Drosophila melanogaster: one gene and its partners. The protein of the gene in region 1 purifies or fractionates together with the protein of each later gene. This does not show direct contact. Each region holds a gene or a part of one and is shown in the gene's direction. Other genes may lie near its edges. The genes, in order: Hsp60A, CG10214, CG4949 and CG4461.

Evidence for each region.
Region 2: the proteins of Hsp60A (region 1) and CG10214 purify together in Drosophila melanogaster (affinity purification with mass spectrometry, with the first as the bait; one large-scale study listed by BioGRID). This does not show direct contact.
Region 3: the proteins of Hsp60A (region 1) and CG4949 purify together in Drosophila melanogaster (affinity purification with mass spectrometry, with the first as the bait; one large-scale study listed by BioGRID). This does not show direct contact.
Region 4: the proteins of Hsp60A (region 1) and CG4461 purify together in Drosophila melanogaster (affinity purification with mass spectrometry, with the first as the bait; one large-scale study listed by BioGRID). This does not show direct contact.

Annotation. Positions count from the first base shown.
Region 1 is NC_004354.4:11,105,992-11,113,541, forward strand, and holds Hsp60A (heat shock protein 60A), read left to right. Parts: upstream 1-2,490; 5' UTR 2,491-2,642; intron 2,643-3,811; exon of another isoform or gene 3,812-3,934; intron 3,935-4,049; coding exon 4,050-5,420; intron 5,421-5,483; coding exon 5,484-5,834; 3' UTR 5,835-6,317; downstream 6,318-7,550. Other genes in the region: CG42249 (uncharacterized protein), read left to right, coding at 1,200-1,357, 1,416-1,515, 1,578-1,929, 1,988-2,087; CG11122 (uncharacterized protein), read right to left, coding at 6,860-7,550. UniProt on the Drosophila melanogaster protein: Prevents misfolding and promotes the refolding and proper assembly of unfolded polypeptides generated under stress conditions.
Region 2 is NT_033777.3:23,764,576-23,769,114, reverse strand, and holds CG10214 (uncharacterized protein), read left to right. Parts: upstream 1-1,626; 5' UTR 1,627-1,716; coding exon 1,717-2,352; 3' UTR 2,353-2,591; downstream 2,592-4,539. Other genes in the region: tst (twister), read left to right, coding at 1-75; CG10375 (uncharacterized protein), read right to left, coding at 284-658, 786-1,106, 1,245-1,313; Lsd-1 (lipid storage droplet-1), read right to left, coding at 2,592-2,741, 2,808-2,985, 3,049-3,239, 3,419-3,603, 3,937-4,014, 4,156-4,366, 4,431-4,539. UniProt on the Drosophila melanogaster protein: 3'-to-5' exoribonuclease specific for small oligoribonucleotides.
Region 3 is NC_004354.4:17,076,302-17,082,341, forward strand, and holds CG4949 (uncharacterized protein), read left to right. Parts: upstream 1-2,538; 5' UTR 2,539-2,632; coding exon 2,633-2,707; intron 2,708-2,766; coding exon 2,767-3,285; 3' UTR 3,286-4,121; coding exon of another isoform or gene 4,122-4,285; 3' UTR 4,286-4,378; coding exon of another isoform or gene 4,379-4,568; 3' UTR 4,569-4,657; downstream 4,658-6,040. Other genes in the region: CG8945 (uncharacterized protein), read right to left, coding at 4,122-4,285, 4,379-4,568, 4,658-5,019; CG4955 (uncharacterized protein), read left to right, coding at 5,283-6,040.
Region 4 is NT_037436.4:9,372,814-9,377,318, forward strand, and holds CG4461 (uncharacterized protein), read left to right. Parts: upstream 1-2,616; 5' UTR 2,617-2,670; coding exon 2,671-3,273; 3' UTR 3,274-3,480; downstream 3,481-4,505. Other genes in the region: CG4456 (uncharacterized protein), read left to right, coding at 162-282, 349-508, 577-631; Hsp22 (heat shock protein 22), read left to right, coding at 1,438-1,962; Hsp26 (heat shock protein 26), read right to left, coding at 3,749-4,375.

The DNA of each region.
Region 1 (7,550 bases):
AAAAAAAAAATTTTTTTTAATTATGAAAACGTTGACAGGAATCGTTTATTTGGATCATAAGTTTTATAAAACAGTAATTTTTTTGAATGTGTGACCATTTTTGGCCAAGTTATAGGATTTTAAATTCTTCGAAAAAATCATAATTTCGGCTAAATGAATCCCCAATTTTGCAACAAAAACTAATCCTTTTTTGTTCATAGCAATGAAGTTATTAATCCAAATACGGAATGTCATACTTCGTTGAACTCGTCACCAAATTCCCTTTCGAATGGCATTCACAGTTTAAAATGTAAATTTTTGTCCATTTTTCGCAAAAAAATTAAGATTATAAAAATCGGAAAATTCGAAAAAAAAAATTTTCCAGAAATAAATATACGAATTTCGGGATCGTTTATGTGGATCATAGGCTGCACAAAAAAGTCATTCTCTTGGTTGTGTGATCGTTTTTGACCGCGTTATAGCAAAAACTCCTCTAAAAATCTTCAATTGAATGTATCCCTCAGATCTTACGTACGCCCATATAGTCAGCATGTCGCCCTTCGAGAACACGCTGGTTTCCTACAATCTGCCGGGCAGCAAGATAGTGGAGGCCATGGAGTGGGCCCTGAGCAAAGTGGACCTCGAGAACGGGGTGACCGGATCGTACATCAATCTGCAGTTCTCGGGCATCCGGGCGAAGTACGACTACACGAAGCCGGTGGGATCGCGTGTCATATCCGTAACGATTCGTTGTGCGGACTGCGAGGTGCCCAAGTACGAGCCTCTGGTATCCGACAAGCTCTATCGCCTCACATCGCCCAACTTCCTGCAGGCTGGTGGCGATGGCTACACCATGCTCGCCGAGGGCACTGACCTCCAGTACGTACATACAGGCAGCTCATCTTGTGTCCCATGTTGTAATACCATTTGATTATTTACTGATTTCAGGTGGGGAGTCACGGACTTGGATGCCCTAATCTCGTACAGCAATCACATCAATCCCATTTACCAGGGCCTCGAGGGACGCATCACAGTGCTCAACTGATTATACATACATATGTATTATATCCATAATGTGCAATAATTGCATTTTCCACAATAAATTTATCAGGGAAAGTACACAAACATATCTTTTCTCTGGAAGATTATTGATGCTGGGGAATATGTTTGGAGGCAATGGTTGCATAATATAATCATATACCATTTAAAATCTCCCAAAGATGATATCGTTCTACAAGCCATGGTGCCTTGGCAACTCGAGATGAAACCCATTGCCGAGCGGACAGTGGGCCAGAGTCGCGTGAATCTCCAGCAGAGTCAGTGCAGCAGTGGGGAATGCAATCTGGGTAACTTCTTCACCGATGCTATGCTTCATGCGGTAAGTAGTGGTGGCTTCAACCCACTTGCAACTGACCTAGTCCAATGAGAATCTTCAGTTTGTCAAGGATGCTTCATCGTCGTCTGAAGAGAGTTGGAGTAACGTGACCATTGCCTTGACATCAACGGGAACTTTTCGAGTGCCTATTCCAGCTGGCAGTGAGTCCTGAAAACAACATGTATACCTTAATCGAACAATAAGACTAAGTATATCACTACAGACATCACCTACAAGCAATTGTTTGCCATGTGCCCATGGCAGAATAGACTGGTGACCCTCAGTCTGCGTGGTAAGCACATTGTGGAGCTGCTGGAGCATGTGGTGGCGCCCATGAATGCCAGTTCGGCCACGCCGCGTTCCTCCCGATTCCTCCAGGTTTCCGGTCTCCGTATCCGTTACGATTTGAACGCCGATCAGCGAGTATTCAGTGTGCGAGTAAGATGCTCCAAGTGCCTGGTGCCCAGGTATATTCCACTCGATTTGGAGCACAAGTACCGCGTGGTCGTCATGGAGTACCTGGCGAATGGGAAGAACGGATTTAGCGTAATCAGCGAAAATGCAGAAGATCCAGAGTAAGCATGTTAAACAATGTTGATTTTGAATAAAGTATTAAAAAGCTTTTTTTGCCAGGTTTGGTCCTTTCGACTTGGACGCCTTAATGGACTACATGAACTCCACCGGGCCAATTACGACTGCAATCGAGCAAAGGATTCAGTTTGTAACTACTTAGACTTTATAGTATGGTCGAAAAATGTAGTAAACCTATATAATAAAATATACATATGTATGGTTTCATTTTGAAAAAAAAAAACTTAGGCGCGAAACTATCGCTTTCCGCATCTAACATCTCTAGCATAACGTATAAAGCTTGCTGCGATAGTTATTCATTATTATATAATTGGATTATTAATAGTTGCGTTGGATTTGCATATTTGCTGTTAATACATTAATATATTAAATTGTTTTCTTTTCTATGGAAACCAGAAAACTTATTTATCGGCGAAAGCTCAATTTATTATAAATATTACTTGAATGCGAGTCCCCCATATGGCTGCCGATAATATTCGATTGCCCGACGCAAGCAATCGATAAGCGCCGGCTATTTTCGATGGCCAACGAATGGTCACACCGATACACATTAAGGTTAGGAAGTTCGGACCGCCTGTGCGCACATTTCGAAGCGAGTAAACTGTGGTGAAGTGGGCTTGTTGTTTCACATCAAATAGAATCGGAAGCGTTCGCTTAACTGTCTTGTCAATAATTCGCAGTACCAGTTTAATTCACAGTAAGTTCTAAACTTTTAAACAATTTCCAGAGCCATTCCCATTTGCCCAATTGCATTTCAAGTTTGTGTGCAAGTGTGTGTGTCCCATTGGCGATTATATAAGAGCGAACAATCTGGCCGATAGCCGGCAAATCGTGTTTCCAGAATGTTCTGTTCATTGATAACTGGAAAAGTAAACGATGTCTGCATTGTGCAGTAAATGATTACATTCCAACAAGAATTTATTAAATCCACCTCAAAACACACAAACACGCATACGGGCGCGCACATTGGAAAGCTGGTGGAAACTCAGTTGCACATGTTTTCCACTGCTTGCCGGCAATTTCACATTTATCAGACGGCATTGCATGTGCTGCTACTGCTTGCCCTGCTTCCTTTCTTTCTTTCCACTCTCGTTTGCGGAAATCTTTGATTCATTGAATAACATTCCCTCCCATTTTGGGAGCTACATATTAGTCTTTTGCCCAAGTGCTGGTTACATAAATCGTTTCTTCTGGAATGCTCGGTGCCAAGATGTTGTTCGTTCCCCGGGGGGTGGGGGTGGGCACTGGAATGAGGGGGCCTGGCCGGTACAGTGGAGCCTCGCTGCTGCAACGAATTAGTTTACATAATACTATCAGTAATACCTAAACTCATTGATTTGGTTTAATTTTTCAATTCAAAATAATGATGTTTATAAGGATGAGCAGAATCCATGTAAATATCTCATGTTGCCTGTGTTTTTAGAACTATTTCATCATTAAATTAGATAGAAACAATAGGTGATTACTGTTTAAATTCGTCTTATATTTTATTTTATTGTATTCACATTAATAACAACCTAAAAAAAAAACATTCTTTCTGCTTATGCAATTCTCACAGAGATATTAATTAGTTTATGTAATTTTCGAAAATTGTAATTTTTATAAACCGAAACTAGATGTATGTACATCTGTATTTATCTAATCCACGTGTTATATGCCATAAATTAGCTCAATGATTATGTTGATAATGAGTTTTTTGCATTGAGCTTTATTAAAAAAATGTATATTATTTTTTTTATAACTCTTTGAAAATTCCCAATTTTTGGAGCATTGTGCGTTTATGTAATTTCCATAAGTATCCGTGTAAATAACATTCCATTGGCTTTTGCTGTCAGTAATCTGAGAAGTTTACAGCTCTGATTATCGGAAAAGTCAAGCGAACTGCGTGTGTTAAACAGTGCTCACGCGTTGTATTCCCAATTTCACATTCAAGAACGAAGATTTTTGACCTTTGACCCGCTGGAAGCTTATCAACTAAGAAACTCCGGGGTAAACAACTCAAAGAAACCGCATCTTAGTTCTGCCCAAGGCGGAACACGTGCTTTGATTCATCTCTTGCTACCAGCCAGTTCTCATCATACCAATCCTCTCTGCTCTTCCACAGATGTTCCGTTTGCCAGTTTCGCTTGCTCGCTCCTCCATTAGCCGCCAGTTGGCCATGCGCGGCTATGCCAAGGATGTGCGTTTCGGACCCGAGGTGCGCGCCATGATGCTCCAGGGCGTCGATGTGCTGGCCGATGCTGTGGCAGTGACCATGGGCCCCAAGGGTCGCAATGTGATCATTGAGCAGTCGTGGGGCTCGCCCAAAATCACCAAGGACGGCGTCACTGTGGCCAAGTCCATTGAGCTGAAGGACAAGTTCCAGAACATCGGTGCCAAGCTGGTCCAGGATGTGGCCAACAATACCAACGAGGAGGCCGGTGATGGCACCACCACGGCCACCGTTCTGGCTCGCGCCATTGCCAAGGAGGGCTTCGAGAAGATCTCCAAGGGCGCCAATCCCGTCGAGATTCGTCGCGGTGTCATGCTGGCCGTTGAGACCGTCAAGGACAACCTTAAGACCATGTCGCGCCCCGTTAGCACGCCCGAGGAGATCGCCCAGGTGGCCACCATCTCGGCCAACGGTGATCAGGCCATCGGCAATCTCATCAGCGAGGCCATGAAGAAGGTGGGACGCGATGGCGTTATCACCGTCAAGGATGGCAAGACCCTCACCGATGAGTTGGAGGTTATCGAGGGCATGAAGTTCGATCGCGGCTACATCTCGCCGTACTTCATCAACTCCTCGAAGGGCGCCAAGGTGGAGTTCCAAGATGCCCTCCTCCTGCTGTCCGAGAAGAAGATCTCATCGGTGCAGAGCATCATTCCCGCTCTGGAGCTGGCCAATGCGCAGCGCAAGCCGCTGGTCATCATTGCCGAGGATATCGATGGTGAGGCCCTGAGCACCCTGGTGGTGAACCGCCTCAAGATCGGCCTTCAGGTGGCTGCCGTCAAGGCACCCGGCTTCGGCGACAACCGCAAGAGCACCCTCACCGATATGGCCATCGCCTCCGGCGGCATTGTCTTCGGCGATGATGCTGATCTCGTCAAGCTGGAGGACGTCAAGGTTAGCGATTTGGGCCAGGTCGGCGAGGTGGTGATCACCAAGGACGACACCCTGCTGCTGAAGGGCAAGGGCAAGAAGGACGATGTGCTCCGTCGCGCCAATCAGATCAAGGACCAGATCGAGGACACCACCTCCGAGTACGAGAAGGAGAAGCTGCAGGAGCGTCTGGCCCGCTTGGCCTCCGGCGTTGCCCTGCTGCGCGTTGGCGGCTCCAGCGAGGTGGAGGTCAACGAGAAGAAGGATCGCGTCCATGATGCCCTGAACGCCACCCGTGCTGCCGTCGAAGAGGGAATCGTTCCCGGAGGCGGCACCGCTCTGCTGCGTTGCATTGAGAAGCTCGAGGGTGTCGAGACCACCAACGAGGATCAGGTACGATTATCTATCTCTCTTTTCTGTTATTCGTGTATTAATGTCTATGAAATCTCATAACAGAAACTCGGCGTGGAGATTGTGCGTCGTGCCCTGCGCATGCCATGCATGACGATTGCCAAGAACGCCGGCGTTGATGGCGCCATGGTGGTGGCCAAGGTGGAGAATCAGGCCGGTGACTACGGCTACGATGCGCTGAAGGGCGAATACGGCAACCTGATCGAGAAGGGCATCATCGATCCCACCAAGGTGGTGCGCACCGCCATCACAGACGCCTCCGGTGTGGCCTCACTGCTGACCACCGCCGAGGCTGTCGTCACCGAGATCCCCAAGGAGGATGGCGCTCCTGCCATGCCCGGCATGGGTGGTATGGGCGGCATGGGAGGCATGGGCGGCATGGGTGGCATGATGTAAGCGACTGCCACTGACTGGTCGACAGCCGGAGAGGGGGAGGGAGATGTGATGAGAACCGAAACCAGCATACTGTTTAAGTCACGATGTGGAACGATGACGTCGCGTGGTCGGCGGCGAAAGCAGCTCATCAGTTATCAGTCATCAGCAGTCGGAGCGAGACCCACCAATATCTCTTACATCGGTGCATCCAGCCGGAGACACATCACCCACCATTTGACACGCATTCTAATCCTTGATGGAACTTTGTTTTGCTTCGCATTTATCCTTTGGCAAGAGCAGCGCAACATCAGCACACAAATCCAACACAACCGGCTGGGTGTGAGCTCGTCGAGACTGCAGCGTTCGCTCCGCCACACGCCGTCGCCTCCATTGTGCTCCACGTTTTTTTAACTATTCCTTAACTCTATTTTTTTTTACATGTTATATATGTAAAGATACCGCTAGTTGTAAAATATATTAAATAAATCCGAAGTTAAATTGAGGAAAAACCTGGACGGCTTGTATCTCTGGCGGTTCGCTACTGGGTTACTGGCATCCCAAATGAGAAGATCGGTCGTCCGCTTTGAATTGTTGTGCTCAAATTTATATTTGTTGCTCTTTCGCTTTTTTGTTTCTTTTGTTTATTAATTATAAATACATTTAATAAAAAAAACCTAAATAATGTAACGCTTAGATGTTTAAAAGAAAGAAAAATATGTTGCATATACTCCGCATACGGTTAATGGGTGCGGGGCCAGGAGGTGGCCTCTGCCAAGTGGGTGCTCCCGCTGCCGCTCCTACTCCAGCTGATCCCGATCCCGAACCAGATCCTGATCCTGATCCTGATCCCCTCCTGGCGCCGGCGTTAACGATTAACGATGACACAATGGCAGTACGTATGTGATCGATGGCGGCGATGGGTCGTCGGCTGCCCGCGCCGACTCCGCCCCTCGAGGCCTATGGCTATGACTTGTCTGGCGGGAGGAGACTGTGCTGTGCTCCTACGCCAGCTGTTGCTACGTCTGGTGACGCTGCTCCACCCACTCCTAGCACTTGCGCTTTGGCGTGCGCCGCTTGACACCGCAGTTGTCCACCTTTTTGCTGCCCTTGGCGATGGCCAGCAGCTTCACGAGCTTCTTGTGCGAATCGCCCACGATCCAGCCGTGCTTCTGGTACGTCTCGTTCTCCTCGAAGTGTTTACCCGGCGACGGTGACGCCTCCTCCGGCTCCAGTTCCGTTCGTTCGCCATCCCGCTGCTCGCTGCCAGCTCCAGCGCCGCGGGATTCACCGTCAGCGGCCTCCGTCTCGTCGTCCAGGCGTCCGAACTCATCGTCGCTGGAGCTGCTCCAGTAGTACAGCTGCTTCTCGCTGGCTGGCCGCTTTCTGCGCGCCGGCGACTGGCGGCTGGTCTGCGATTTTCGCTTGGCCTTCAGATTCTTATTGCTGCTGCTGCTGTTGTTGTTGTTATTGGTGGTGCTGCTGGGGGTGGCGACAGAGCTACTCCGCGGATGCGGTGCAGGCGGCAGTGTCTGCTGCTGATTGCCGTGCTGCCGCACCTTGCTCCTCTCTCTTTGCGCTTCCGGTGCAGCTGCGGGCAGTGGTGGTTGTGCTGGTGGCGGTGGTGTTGGCGCTATTGGTTCCTTCTCCGTTTCATTGGCCTTCACCTTAGGCTGCTGCCTGGAGCTGCGCGTCCTGTCTGGTGGTTCAACTTCCACCTCCGCCTGCTCCTGCTCCTCC
Region 2 (4,539 bases), on another chromosome or scaffold:
TCGAAGATGGAGGAGGCGTCGGCTGCTATCAAGCGCGATATTGTTTTCACCGCATCCTTGTACACAGAACTGTGATCGAAGGAGATGGTCCAAGCCATCCATTGTAGAAGGAAAGAGGCAAGACGGAAATGTGTTTCTTACATCTATATTTTATGCACGTGTCAATTACAATTCCAAAGGATACTTATAAAAAAAATGTAAAAATATTCATGTGCAACGCGACGCGGTTTGGCGGAGGTGATCTGGCGATAGTGAAGGAGCGGCGCCGCGCTGGGAAGCTATATTATCGCGACTCGGGCTTAAATTTTGGTGGAACCATCATGCCGGTCATATGTTTTTGTTTCTTGGCTTTCTTGGACTTGCCGGCACCCGACTGAAAGTCATGCCAGCTGTTTACTCGGCTCTGGCGCGACTCTTCGAAGTTCTGCTGCCATTCGCGGTCCGCCTTTATCCGCTCCTCCTCCTCGATTTCCGTTTCGCGCTTTCGCTTTCGCTCCTCCTGGTCGCGTTGGTCGAGCTTTTGCCGTCGACGCTCCATGTCGGCAAACAGTTTCATGACCATAACGTAGATGGCGTGCTTGTACTTGGTGGGATCGTCCTCGGGTATTGGCTCAGTGGGCCGACCCTCTTTTTTAAGCTTTTTACGCTTTTCTGCAATCTGAAAGGTAACGAACAAATTAATATAATACAGTACAATAAAGAAAATGTGCCATTGCAATTGGATTTTCAATTATTCTAAAGCCGGACGATCATAGAGCTTAATGCTCCGAGGAACTGGAACTCACCATTTGATCCGTTCGCCCCTTTGCCTCCTCGTACACCTCCAGACACCTTTTGCGCGTGAGTTCGTTTTCGAGGATTTTCCAGGAACGCGACACAATATCGAATGCCATTTGAGCGCGCTCCTGGTTGTCGGGATTCTTGTCTGGATGGACGAGGATTGACAAGGTGCGGTATCGCTTTTTTATATCCGCCAATTCGACCTCGGGCTCGATTTGGAGCACCTCAAACGGATTGAGATTGAAGTACGTTGAACCTGGACGAAGTAAACGATCAATTTGTTGAGAAGGAGTTAAAACTGAATCACGTTTTTCAATTTCTTTCACCTGCAATATAGGCACAAAATCATTTACTAAAGTGTACATAATAACAAGGGTTTAGTTTATTTGGAGCGGCTGCCGTGCAAGGAGCCCGACCCAGTGTAGAATAAAAACTGAGCCTGCGGTTCCGTCCGCCACACTTACTTCTGTGTAGAATTCCTCGAAGTTGTCATGGGAGGTTCCCGGTTGGTCTCTGGCCGACGAGGAGGACATGCTGCAACAATAACGACACCTTTTGCGTTTTCCGTACAACAATTTTTGATAAAAATATCAACTCGACAGAGTGACCGTGCGCGGTTTGTTAGAAATTACCGTTCGCTGTAGTTAAAATGGCTCCAAGTCGTTATCGCATAAAACCTTTAACTTTAATTACAATTACTTTCGACTTTGGTGGATACAAATAAGAATGCTGAACAAATTATTCTGCAATTATTTGGGTATGAACATAATATTCGATTTGTTTTGTTCCTGTAATGACAGGAATCCCCCTTTCAGTGTTGGGCAATGTGCCTGTAGTGTGACCAGTTGTTATCGTAACGATACCATGTTATCAAACACATGGTAAAACCGCCGCATATTTACATTTAGCAAAAAGAAACCTGCGCTACAGCTATATATGCTTGCTCACCTTCGACGCGTCGGATTGTCCCTGAACCGCCAAATTCGGAGCCACATCGCATTCAATTCAAATGACAGAATGAGCAGCACCTGTGGCTTAGACACGGACATCGTGTGGATGGACTTGGAGATGACCGGGCTGGACATTGAAAAGGACAAAATCCTCGAGGTGGCCTGCATCATTACGGACCAGGACCTGAACGTGAAGTCGGAGGGACCATGCTTTGCCATCAACCATCCGCAGGAGGTCTACGACTCGATGAACGAGTGGTGCATGAAACATCATTACAATTCAGGTCTTATTGATCGATGCAAGAGCTCGGATGTGAATCTCGAAGAAGCCTCCAATCTAGTGCTATCCTATCTCGAGAAGAACATACCAAAGCGCGCCTGTCCGCTTGGTGGGAACTCCGTCTACACCGACCGACTATTCATTATGAAATTCATGCCATTGGTAGATGCTTACCTGCATTACCGCATCGTCGATGTGTCCACCATCAAGGAACTGGCCAAGCGATGGCATCCCGCAATTCTGGATTCCGCTCCCAAAAAATCTTTCACGCATCGTAGTCTGGACGACATCCGAGAAAGCATCAAAGAGCTTGCGTATTACAAAGCGAACTTATTTAAATAAATTAAAGCAAGAATTTAAAGCACCCTAGGAATTCTTTCAATACCTAATGCTTTATTGGCAATATGAGTCTATAATAATTTTGGATAAAAGTCCGCGTTGTATTGTTAAGCGTGAAGTTAGGCTTATATTATTGACAAATGCATTATGTTAAAAATAGATGTACAATATCGTTTAGTGTATTTTCCGTATATGCACGGAGAAACAGAAATAAAAATACGATAGCAATAAAGAATTCAATGCTAGTAGACGCCGTTGATGTTATTGTGGGTGGCTGAATAATGGTTCGGATCCTGCCTCCTCCGCGATGACCGGTGGTTGGAATTGCCGCCATCGCTGCCCGTCACCTTCTCGGCCTCCATGCGTCCGGATAGAAAGCTGGCCACGCGCTCCTGTCGAATATATTTAATATATATAATCATCTTCCGTCTGACTGCTAGTATCACATCCTTTCTTACCAGGTAGGCATTGGTCAGGCCCTGAAGGCTACCATAGAACGCCAGCATGCGCTTGAAAAGAGATTCAGCTTCCTCTTTGGAGATGGTTTTAACCTTGTCCAGCCGTGAGATTGTGATGATGCGGTGGTTGATATAGATAATATGGTGGGCAACCTCTGTTGTCGTGTGCGCCAGGTTTCTGTAAGGTTTGGTTCGAAGGGGTTCACATGGAAAGATAAGGATGGAGGCGGGATCTACCAACCTGGGTATGTTGGCTGCCACATGAGCACTGAAGTTCACTAGATGAACCACACGCCTAGCCGATTCGCGGGTCAGTAGCACAATCAACTGCTCCAGAGTGGCGGGCCTCGCTTGATTTTCGGGTTCATCTGCACTGAGATAGACCCACAGTTCCTTGGCCTTTTGAACGGCCTGCTTGGGATCGGTGGCAATCTGTGGAATGGGTTTCGTTTAAAAGTGTTATTTGGGTTACGGTTGTACACCAGAATACAAACAGACATTGCGTAATCATTTCGTAAGTAATTTGAATTGGTTACTGTAATCTTATGGTTTTTTTTTTTACCAAATGATACTCAAAAATTAAAGCAAATAGGTTACTGAATTTTACTGACCAATTCTGCGGCATAGAAGAGCACGTGGATCGCCTCCTTGCTCTGCTTTTTGAGGGCGCGAGCCTCTGCGATGGTTCTTTGGGTAAGGCGGCGCTTCAGTTTGCGGGAGAAGCGTTGACCATGATGGATCGCCTTGATGGCGCCCCTCTCGTCCGGCACGGCCTCGTTATCATCCTCCTGTGGGCCTGCAAGGCGGATACTCGGAATAAGTGTCTTATACAATTTTTTTTGAGCATGAGAGAGCAAATTCCGGCCAGAGCTCAGCTTATCGCAACTTTCTCTGGCTTCAGGTTTCAATGAATCCGCCGTTCCCCAGAGATAACCTTCCCGACAACGTGGGCATTTATAAATAAACTATGAGATGAGTGCACCTTAAGGTGATTTGCCTGGATGCTGACTTTTCAAATCACTTGCTTTCGCTTACTTTTTATGTAAAACTTTTGGCAAACTAAACTATCTTTCATATGATTTTGATTATCTCTAGTTATATGGAGAAATATGTAATTTTGCATACTAACTTTTGTGGCCAAACATTCGGTTTAATTGTTGTCGAATCGGCGAAAAGTTATCATTCAGGGCCGAAACCAATTTTTTCACTACAACAATTTTGAATTATAAATAGTTAGTTTAGTAAAAGTGCCAAAATATAAGAACTTCAGTTTAAAATAAAATGAAATGTAATAGATTCCCCAACATGCGTTTGAAGATTAACCCAGATGTGAGATACCAGGACTCACCATCGGTCTGATCCTGATCTGTTTGGATGGGCACCAGGTACTTGTCCACGAACTTATCGCCGACTGTGAAAGCGCCATCAATGCGCTCGGCTGCATAAGTGGTAAGTGGACTCTCGAGGACAGCATTACCGATTTGCTTGACAGAATCGGCGCGTTTCAGAACCGGACGCACCAGGTGATCGGACATGTACTCCTTGGTGTTCCAGTACATCTTCAAGCAGAGAATTATGCCCTTTTGTCAGCGCATGGGGGGGAGTTACTAGCCGACTACTTACCATTTCGGGCGGCAGATAGACCAGTGGTATGCGCTGCTCCAGAATGTCCAGGCTTTTGCACATCACGTTGTCCAGGCGCTGAATGGATGGCTCGAAGAGCTTGACCGCC
Region 3 (6,040 bases), 6.0 Mb from region 1:
ACCCACTAAATAAATGCCAATTGTAAATCGATTTCCCAATTCCGATTGAGCTTTATTTTATCAACAGAAGCGCTTATCAATTGCCGGCATTGATTTGTTGACAGTCATTAATTTTAGTTGCTCTGCGTTTAACGGACAATCGAAAGCCGGCTAAAAAGCGATGGTAAATAAACAAACAGCGAAACGCGTTTGATAAACAATGGATATGAACTAATTTTGCGGTGCAATAAGCAACTGTAAATGTTACAAGAACTATTTTTTTTTTTTTGGCCTTTTGCCAGCTGAGCGCGTGCGAGCGAGAGGCAACTATTGTGTGGTGAAAAGACGAAAAACATGAATAGCGCGAGAAGATGGATAAGTGGGAAAATCAAAGCAAGAAACATAGGGAAAACAAATTTATTTACGAAAATCACTTAATTAGGGTAAACGGAGAAAATTTGAGGATAAAAAGGAAACGCGGGCACTGCGAGTTAGAGCGAGATGGCAGTAGGACAGAACGTAAACAAAAAAATATACAATTATGAGTGTGCTAGTTTGCCTGTGTGTGTGTGATTGTGAGTACGTTGGGAATCACTGTTATTGCCGATATTACGGTAGATTGAAAATAATATTTGATATATTACCCATCGTTCATACGCTGCGGTTTTCTAGCATGCATTACCATCAATGCAAGTTTTTCGCCAAATACGCTGCTGCTGCTTCTGTTGGTTTTCCCTCTCTCTCCTGCTCCTCCTCCTGCTGCTGCTTCTTCCGCTGCTGCTGCTGCTGCTGCTGCTTATGCGTCTGCTTCCTCTTCTCCTTCGTCGACTGCTGTTGCTGGTAGTGCTGCTGCTGCTTCCTCTTCTCGTGGAGAAGATAATGCAGCCTTATTCCGATTTTATCCAATATTCTGGGGCCTTTGGCGCCTCCTGTTTGCTCCTCCTTTTGCCTCCACCGCTTCCTCTTCTTCTTCTCACCTGCCAAGGCACGCTCGCTTGTATGTGTGTGTGTGTGTGTTGTGGTCTGCTTGTATGGGAGGCTCTCAGTGGCATGTGTGTGTGTGTGCTTTTCGTCTGTGTGGCCCGCTGACTCGGTGTTTGTGTGGCGTATATGTGTGCCTGAATTGCGGTCGCCTTATTATCGGCTTATTTTGCTGCCTCCTAAAAGTACAAACATTCATAGCAATCCTTTAGACAGCTTCCTTTTTGTCCTCTCCTTAATGCAATTAGCATTCGGAACGCCTTTAATTTTTCACTTAAAGCACACACGGCATTCGCCTCTGCGTGCACGACCGTGAGTGACTGTGTGCGTGCGTCTGTGCATGTGTGTGTGGTGTCGCTTGATCCGTATTTCGTTTGACTTCTTTTCAATTTTACTCCCTTTTTTTCTTGGTACCTTACCGCAATTCGCAATTTGCCGCTCGCCTTCTTTGCTGGGCTGCAATCGCCGCATTTATTTGCTCAGCATTGAACGACAATTGTTTAATTATATGCCGACTTGCTGTGTTCGCTTTTTGGCCTCTATACTTGATGATTTTTTTCAATTCTTTTGCATTACGCTTTGTGCGGTCTGTTCGTCGGCACGGCTGTGTTGAGTTTGCCAGCAATCGGTCGCTGCGTGCGGCTATCCCTCTCGCGCGGCACGCTATGCGGGTGCGAGAAGAGTTCGGCTATATGTGCCAATTGGCTGGTTGATATGGTGGACTCTAGGTGGCGCCCCGTTTGTGGTATTTTTTAGTGCCTGACACCGCTAGGCGTTGGACGGATTGCAAAATGGTCACTCTGTAGCCGGGGATGCCAACTAGGTTCGCATTTAAATTCTTTTTTGGTTACTGTTAAATAATAAATATATATATAAAAACATAACTTTTAACTTTTAACTTTTAATTTGACTTTTGTTATTGTACATATTATGTATATACGCAATAGCTGATCTTTATAAACTTTCGATGATACTGAAATAGTTTTAGATATAGATAGTTTATATTAATTTATCATATATTGCACAACATCATTTCGATAGTATCGCATAATCATTTCGGGCACACTGCTCAAGGGTATTCCTATCGGATGTATTGTTTCTCGATAAGCCGACTTAAAAATTATATGTTTTTTAAAAAAAATTATATATACATATTTACACTTGAGAAATAAGAAAAAGCATTTGCATATTATTAAATTCAATAATTTTTTAATTTAATATAAAACAAAAGAACAAAGAATGATAATTCAAACTGAAAAACAATGAGATTTCTTTTCATATGCAAGATCTTAAGGTGGTATAACTGGTAATAATAATTATTTGACCTGCTTTGCTAAATGCCCTTTCCGACTCCGACGAAGTTGTCCATCGACTTGCGTCAGTTTCACCACAAACCCAAAATATATATGACTGCAAGCTAATATTTGAAAGTAATTAATTATTTGAATTAATTAAAATAGTTGAAGAAATTCTAGTGATTAACCTAAAAACATCGATAGTCTGAAATAAGCATCGATGTTTGGAATATTTAAAAAAAAACCTCGGTGCATCGATATTAGCATCGATGTTTCGGCACCTCTATTAAAAACTCATCCCGATACCGATAATAGCGGCAGAAGAATTTTAGAATTCCTTAAATATATATTGTTTAATTTGTAAGCATTTTTAAGGAATGAGTTTGAGCGACTGCAACAATAACTATATATATTTGACGGGCAGTGAGGATTACGCCCTTAATTTGGCAAAGGTAAGTTCTGAACATCGGATTCAGGTCGGTTTTTGAACATCAAATTGCATTTCTTTTAGCTATGCGAACGCTTTGCCACCAAAGAAAAGCGCGTCTTACTGATCACCAGTCGCCAGCAGGGAATGGCAAAGCGCTATCCATGGGAGGCCCATAACTGCAGCAAATACCTGACCATTCTGCAACTGGTGGATGTGGAGAGCACCCCGCTTCGCATGCTGGAAATGCAGGATAGCGCCGAATCCTTGCGCAGTCCCGATTTGATAGTCTTTGATCTGCAGTCGCTCGTTTTGGATGCACTACTGCGTCCTGTGATGCAGCAGTGCTCCACGAACAAAATGGTCCGGCAAATTGCCAAGTGCTCCGCATCCTTTGTGAATTACCGCGAAATCCTGGCCAATCTGGCGGAACAGAAGGCGGGCAAAAGCATCGACACCATTGTGGTCATGTCGCAGGAACCGTATCCCATGTCAGCAGCCCAGTTCAAGCTGCTTATTGGACTCTATTTCCACGGCAACGAGTGCCACACGAATTTTGCCAAGCTCTCGGCCAAGATCATGGTCTCCCAGAGATTCGCCTAGACGAAGGACAGAAGTTTGGAGCCACTACAGTGCCTTGGTAACCAGTTCCTGAGTTTAATCATAGCTGGCAGTATTGTAGTTATTCGCCGTATGCTCTTGCTTTTCAAACAATACTTACTTAGAACGTTTACCTTATGCATTATTAAAACATGCATTTTGTCAGGTTAGACGAATATTTTCAAAGCTGGAACGAATTTTCCAATCTCGAACGAATTTCGAGTTATTAAGACTGCATTTCCATTTTATTGACTTAAAGCTATTCATATTGCCTTCCCAAAAGATATCCAAATGGGGAACGGTCGAATATTTAAGAAAATGAATTTATAAAAGGCAAGGCACGCTATATTATATCCGCATATAATACTAAGACAGTGCGTACATTTGGCAAGAACTTAAGAAATACTGTACGTTGAAAATATCTCCCTACATGGCATCCATGCAAAATGTTATACGAAAGCGAAGCAATCGAATGCTCGATCAAATATAAGACTTTATTATAGTATACTATTTAGTCTAAAAGGGATTAAAACTACCAAAAAAAAATTGCTGATAATTAATTATAATATACATACATATAACAATAATATTTATTATGCTAAACGGAAATCTCAACTTAAGGGAATTTATATGAAATAAAAAAAAAATTTCGAATGCATAAGATACGTAAATGCAGCTAAAAGTATTGGAGAATGTATTCCGGAAATACGGCTAGTGATCTCCGGAACGCAAGCCACCAAAGCCCGTTTAAAAGGAACTAAAACTCATTCACATGTAGCCCCACCCCAAATCCCTGCTGCCTTCGTCTTCGATTGGAATCCGATCTCCGCATCCCAGCCTCATATGTAGTCCAGCATGCCGCTTATGATCTCAAAGGCATCCCGAGCCGTGGGCTCAATGGCGCTGCTGGGCAGCAGATAACCGTGCACTCCGTTGTCCGCCAGCTGGAGCGTGTAGCTGAAGGGAATTCCGATCTCGTAGGCGGCAAAAGCGTCCGCACAGCCTGGATAAATCAAGGAAGCCAAAGGATTGGCAAGGTCGGATAAAGATCTCTATTATATTCTACTTCGAAGCAAATAATATAAATATTACGCACCCGATCGCTGTTCAATTAGATCGTTGGATGCGTCGACCTTATATCGGGACTTACTACCCTTTTTGCGCAATCCATCGGTACCCACCATCGCCACGTCCAGAAAATCATCCAATCTTTCTGAATTGAAAGTGGAATTGGCCTTGACCGGATAGGATATCACCTGACCATAGGCCTGTAGGGAAATGTAAAGCTGCAAAAATAATGAATAAAGTTAATAAATCAAAAAATATATCTATTTTAGAGAGTTAATATAAAAATTATATATTGTTCTAAGCATACCTTTATCTGCGTCCTATAGTCCATAAGGAACTCAGATACTGCCTTGGTTTCCGGTTCAGAAAATGGCGCTGGACCGGCGTAGAACTCATTGCAGGGTGCCTTGGAGCTACCCCGTTTGCCCCAATGATACAGCCAGTTTCTGTCCAGGTCCACCCCGTAGCAGACCTTATCCGGACCCCGTTTTTGCTGGAGCCATGTCATCGCCGAGTCGAGGAGGCCACTGGGAGGTGGAGTCTGGTGCTGAGATCGCGACTTCTTCCAGAAACGATCGTACTCGTGGCTGTACGCATATCCGTCCGGATTCAGGACCGGCATTATGTACCATGTGGTGTTCCGGATGAACTCCACGTCCTCGTTGCTTTCTGTTGAGTAAACGTTTTATGGGTTATTTTTATACATAACTTTACATAATGCATATGAAATAAATGTTAATAAATATTAATTCTCTTAAGAAAATAAATACGTTGTTCAACCGATCAACGTAGCCGCTTTTCCCCAACTCAAATTACATTAGTTATCCCTTTGTCAGTCCGTTAGTCAGTATATTTGTAGACCCAGAAATCGATAGTGTATACTTTAGACCTTTACAGCTTGCCACTTCTCCTCCAGTTGGACCAAGATCAGAATGGAGAGGCGAAGACCCCGAAAGTCCTCGCGTAAATACGTGTGCTCCAAATCAAACTCTTCAGTTGGAGGAGGAGTAGAGGAAGACAGTGGCTCATCATTGCCTGCCACCGCCAAAGCGTTACTCCTCCAGCCGGACGGTAATAAAGCACCAACCATGACATCCCTTCTGGGCGAACGACTCAGAAGAGTTTCTCGCATCGCAAGAGCTCCGCACAGCCTACAAGTTACCGAAAATCCAGAAGAAGGTGGAGCACCAATCGTACCACTAAGAGAATCCGGCGCATCGGAAGTGTCAGAAGTAAATCCGGGGGTTATGGTCATTCCGGAGTCGGCCAGTCCCCGGGGATCGGCGGTGCATGGACAACACGCTAGCTTGGTCTTCAGTGCTGAAGCCAGGGATTCGGACAGTACGCGGATATCGGAGGAAATGGTGGAAGTGTTCCAAACCTCTTCGGCGAGAACCACATCCAATGAGCCCGCAGGGGGCAATCTGCGCTTTGAAACCACTCCCGTGGCTGTAAGCGAAAGTATGGTTGGCAATATAAACTTCTCCCCGAACGCCATCTACGATCAGAACAGGTATAGCAGCATGATGTCCAACGGGGATTACAATAATGGCAACAGGGGTGAGAGTGAGAGGAGCGTGGGAGCCTGCCACCATGGTTGGGCGGCGCGACAACAACAAGTTGCCGCTGGACCTGCCGGCAGAGACACCCTGGGATTCGCCATCAGTCTGGGCGCCGCTAATTTGGGCCA
Region 4 (4,505 bases), on another chromosome or scaffold:
CACGATAATCAAAATGCGATAAGCAAGTACGCACATACATATGTACATACCCGAATCTTTAATCTTGAACCTCATAAATGGATCATCTGCGCCCAGCTGGCAAGTCAGTTGTTATTCAGCTGGCGAACCGGTTGAAATTCGTGCTCCGCCCCATAACTACAATGGCCACGTACGAACAGGTTAAGGATGTGCCCAACCATCCGGATGTGTATCTTATCGACGTTCGACGGAAGGAAGAGCTCCAGCAGACGGGCTTCATTCCAGCCAGCATCAATATACCCTGTAATAAACTACTTTCCCTAGTATTTGCTTTATTACTATGTGTTTTATTACTATTTATTTACTTAGTGGATGAACTGGACAAGGCTCTAAATCTGGATGGATCTGCTTTTAAAAACAAGTACGGAAGATCGAAGCCGGAGAAGCAGTCGCCAATCATATTCACCTGCCGGTCGGGAAATCGAGTCTTGGAAGCAGAGAAAATTGCCAAAAGTCAGGGATACAGCAAGTGAGTTTTAAAATTGTATTATAGTTGCAATAGTTTATATCGGATACATATATGTATGCTCATTTTAGTGTGGTGATCTACAAAGGCTCCTGGAATGAATGGGCTCAAAAGGAGGGACTTTGACGATAAACGTCGCTATATTTCTGAATAAATGAAGATTAATATTAATTAATTAATTAATTATTAATAGCTAAAAAAAACAGAAAACTTTAATTATTTGTTAATATTAAGCTGTATTTTTCATATATCTCAAGTTCTTGACTACACCCATGGCAAGCTTATCAATACACACACGTATACACTCGCACTCAGAAAGCTGTGCACTCCCACAAAACTTTCTCTCTCCCACTCTCTAATGGAGCTCTCTCAATCTGTCTCTCTGCGTATGGAAACTGACCTTCCCCAAGGCGCAACAGCGAGAGAGAACTTCGCTAAATGCTAAAATAAAAGGTAAATAAAGTAATATTTGGACACCCAGAGAGCCCCAGAAACTTCCACGGAGTTCGCTAAAGAACAGTGAACAACCCCTAACTAAATGCCATTGCCCGATTTCAGGCAAAGTGGAAAATTGCATCAGCAAAGGGCGAAGAAAATTCGAGAGAGTGCCGGTATTTTCTAGATTATATGGATTTCCTCTCTGCCAAGAGTATAAATAGCCACCGGTTGGACACTGCGCTCTCAGTTCAAAAAAACCAAACCAACTGCTAACAACTCGAAGAAAGTCAACTAAATTAAAATTTCGCCAGCTAAATAGAAATTTCATAGGATTGAAACTTCAGACAACAAGATTATCTTCGAAACATAGAGGAAAAATTTAAAAAAAAGCCAAGAAGTATTTCAAAGACAACAATTGGACGGAATTTCATCAAATTATTCGAATTTGCATAAGAAGCTTTTGTTGGAAAAACCAAGTTACCTTATTAACTACAATGCGTTCCTTACCGATGTTTTGGCGCATGGCCGAGGAGATGGCACGGATGCCACGCCTCTCCTCGCCCTTTCACGCCTTCTTCCACGAGCCGCCCGTTTGGAGTGTGGCGCTACCGAGGAACTGGCAGCAGATTGCCCGCTGGCAGGAGCAGGAGTTCGCTCCGCCGGCCACCGTCAACAAGGATGGCTACAAACTCACCCTGGACGTCAAGGACTACAGCGAGCTAAAGGTCAAGGTGCTGGACGAGAGCGTTGTCCTGGTGGAGGGAAAATCAGAGCAGCAGGAGGCCGAACAAGGTGGCTATAGCTCCAGGCACTTCCTCCGCCGCTTCGTCCTGCCGGAAGGATACGAGGCGGACAAGGTGACCTCAACGCTGAGCAGCGACGGCGTCCTGACCATCAGTGTGCCCAATCCTCCAGGCGTGCAGGAGACACTCAAGGAGCGTGAGGTGACCATCGAGCAGACTGGCGAGCCGGCAAAGAAGTCCGCCGAGGAGCCAAATGACAAAGCCGCCAGTCAGTAGAAATAAGTTAAGATTATACTAAAACCGATAAAATGCTAGTGAACTCCTATGTTTAGATATTCCAAAACCTATCAAATTTAAGTTCTTGTTAAATTAACAAGTTAATTTTAAAACAATTGTGATTCGGTAGCCCGCAAGCCCAATATTTTTATGTAGAAGAAAATAAATATTCGAAAAGACTATATGATCAAAATATTTCTTTCACTGGGAACACATTTGATATGGATAGTATTATAGATTATTATATATAATTTATATGTATCTGTCAAGTCATGAAAATGGATCCATTCGAAGATCTAATGATTGCCTTAGATGGAGATACAATTTAAAAGCCCCAAAAATACTTTCCATTTTGTTTGCATTCGTCTGACACCTTGGTCATGTAGCATCTTTTTCCGCTTCCTTCGATGATTCTAGTGACGTAGCCACTTGACGCGGGTCCAACTGGCCGTTTATATTGTCGTGTGCACCTCGTTGGCCTCGCCTTCACCGCTGCACTTGGCCGATCCGATCCGATTCGTTTCGATCCCATCCGATGCGCCTCGTCCGGATGACTCATCTATCGTCTCCGCCATCATCCGCCATCCGCAATCCGCATCCGGCGAGGCCAGTCGGCCATCTATAAAAGAACTGACGGCGGCGGCGACAAATTTTATAAGATTTTCGGACTCGTACATAAGCGAATCGCTGCCCTAATCCCGGCGAGAAATGTCTCTGGTGCCTACCACATATCGCGATTTGTCGCGCGAATTTGATCGACTCCGTCCGCTCTACCATCCGCCGTATGATTTCCAGCTATATCCGTATCTGTGGGACGATTCGCGTCTCTGGTGGCCATCGCCTCACACCAGCAGAAGTGACCTACTCCGACCTCTGGATGAGCTGGTGTCGCGTCGAGTGCGCAACCAGTTGATCCAATCGACGCCGTATGAGTGGGCGCATCCAATGAGGTGGGACAACTACTATTCCGGTGAGCGTGTCCATGTGGATGAGAAGGGATTTCGGATTGACATCGATGTGCGACAATTTCATCCCCACGACATTGTGGTCAAAACCAATGACGACTATGTCATCGTCCAGGGAAATCACAATCGTCGCGACGAGGGTTCCAATGGCCTGGTGGAGCGGCACTTTGTGAGGAAGTACCTTCTGCCCCGCGGATACAATGCCAATGAGGTAATCTCGGACATATCCAGCGATGGCATCCTCACCATCAAGGCTCCACCACCGCCGCCAGCCAAGTACTACACGCCCGGAGAGAGATTGGTCCGCGTTCATGAAACCGGAAAGCTGGCCCTGCCCTGGAAATAGTGGACCATGTGTCAAAAATCAGGAAGGCAAACAGTGAATGTGTTTTTACCAAACCCAAATCCCAACCATCGAATGCGCCTAACTCAAGGTGAACTATTTTCGGACACCAAGCAATTGCAGCCGAACATTTAAATTGGATTCAAACATAAATAAAATACAAATTGTACCCGTAGTTGATATAATAAATGCGCAATAAATATTTGGTAGAAACACTGGTGTTTACGAATGGGTCTTCACCTCGTCGCGCCCAATTCAAATCTTCAAATCGATATTTCCAAATATTTGCCTCTTTCAAAAACCAACTTTCATATACAAAAGTCACAACAATTTTAATTTTCCACACCAGGTGAACAAAAGGATTTATTAAATTAATATGAGTATTCTAGTCTTTAGCTCATTACAAATACAATGCAATAAATTAGGAACAATTAAGTAGGGGAATGATGATGGATGATGTTGGATGATGATGGCTCCTTTACTTGTCCTTGCCGTTGGGTGCTCCGTTCTCCTTGCCCTTCACCTCGCTTTCATTTGCCTTAACGTTGAGGTGAGCGGGTCCCACTTGCTGAATTTGAATGATGCGCTCCTTGGACTTGTCCTCGACGGCCTGCGGCTTGGGAATACTGACGGTGAGCACGCCATCCGACGACAGCTGCGAGACCACTTGCTCCGCCTTGTAGCCATCGGGAACCTTGTAGCGGCGCACAAAGTGGCGCATGATGTGACCATGGTCGTCCTGGCGTTCCTCATGCTTGCCCTCGACCAAGATGGAGTCGTCCACCACCTTCACGTTGAGCTCACTGGGCTTGAACTGGGCGACGTCCATGCACACCTGGAATCCATCCTTGCCCACATGGGCGGTTGCCGGCCAGTGAATGTCGTTGCGGTTGGCCATCTCGCGCCGCAAAGCCAAAACCTGGCCGGCGGGCGACGATGGGCATATCGGCGATGCGCAAGGGCATCCGTTGATGGAACGGCGCTGCTGAGTGCCAAGGGGCAGCACGTAGCGGGAATGCGGATGCAATCCCAGTCCAAGCTCGTAGATGGGGCTGCGGGGCTCCTGGAGTTCATCCACAAGCGAAAGCAGAGTAGATAGCGACATTTTTACGTTTCCTTTAGGTTATGTTCCTTTTGCGAGATTGAAATATTTTTTCTTTGGTTAAGTTGAATGAACTTGTTTGACTTGTAAGCAAAGGTTTTTAATCCTTTTTTTTCTCGTTTGAAGTTTTGCT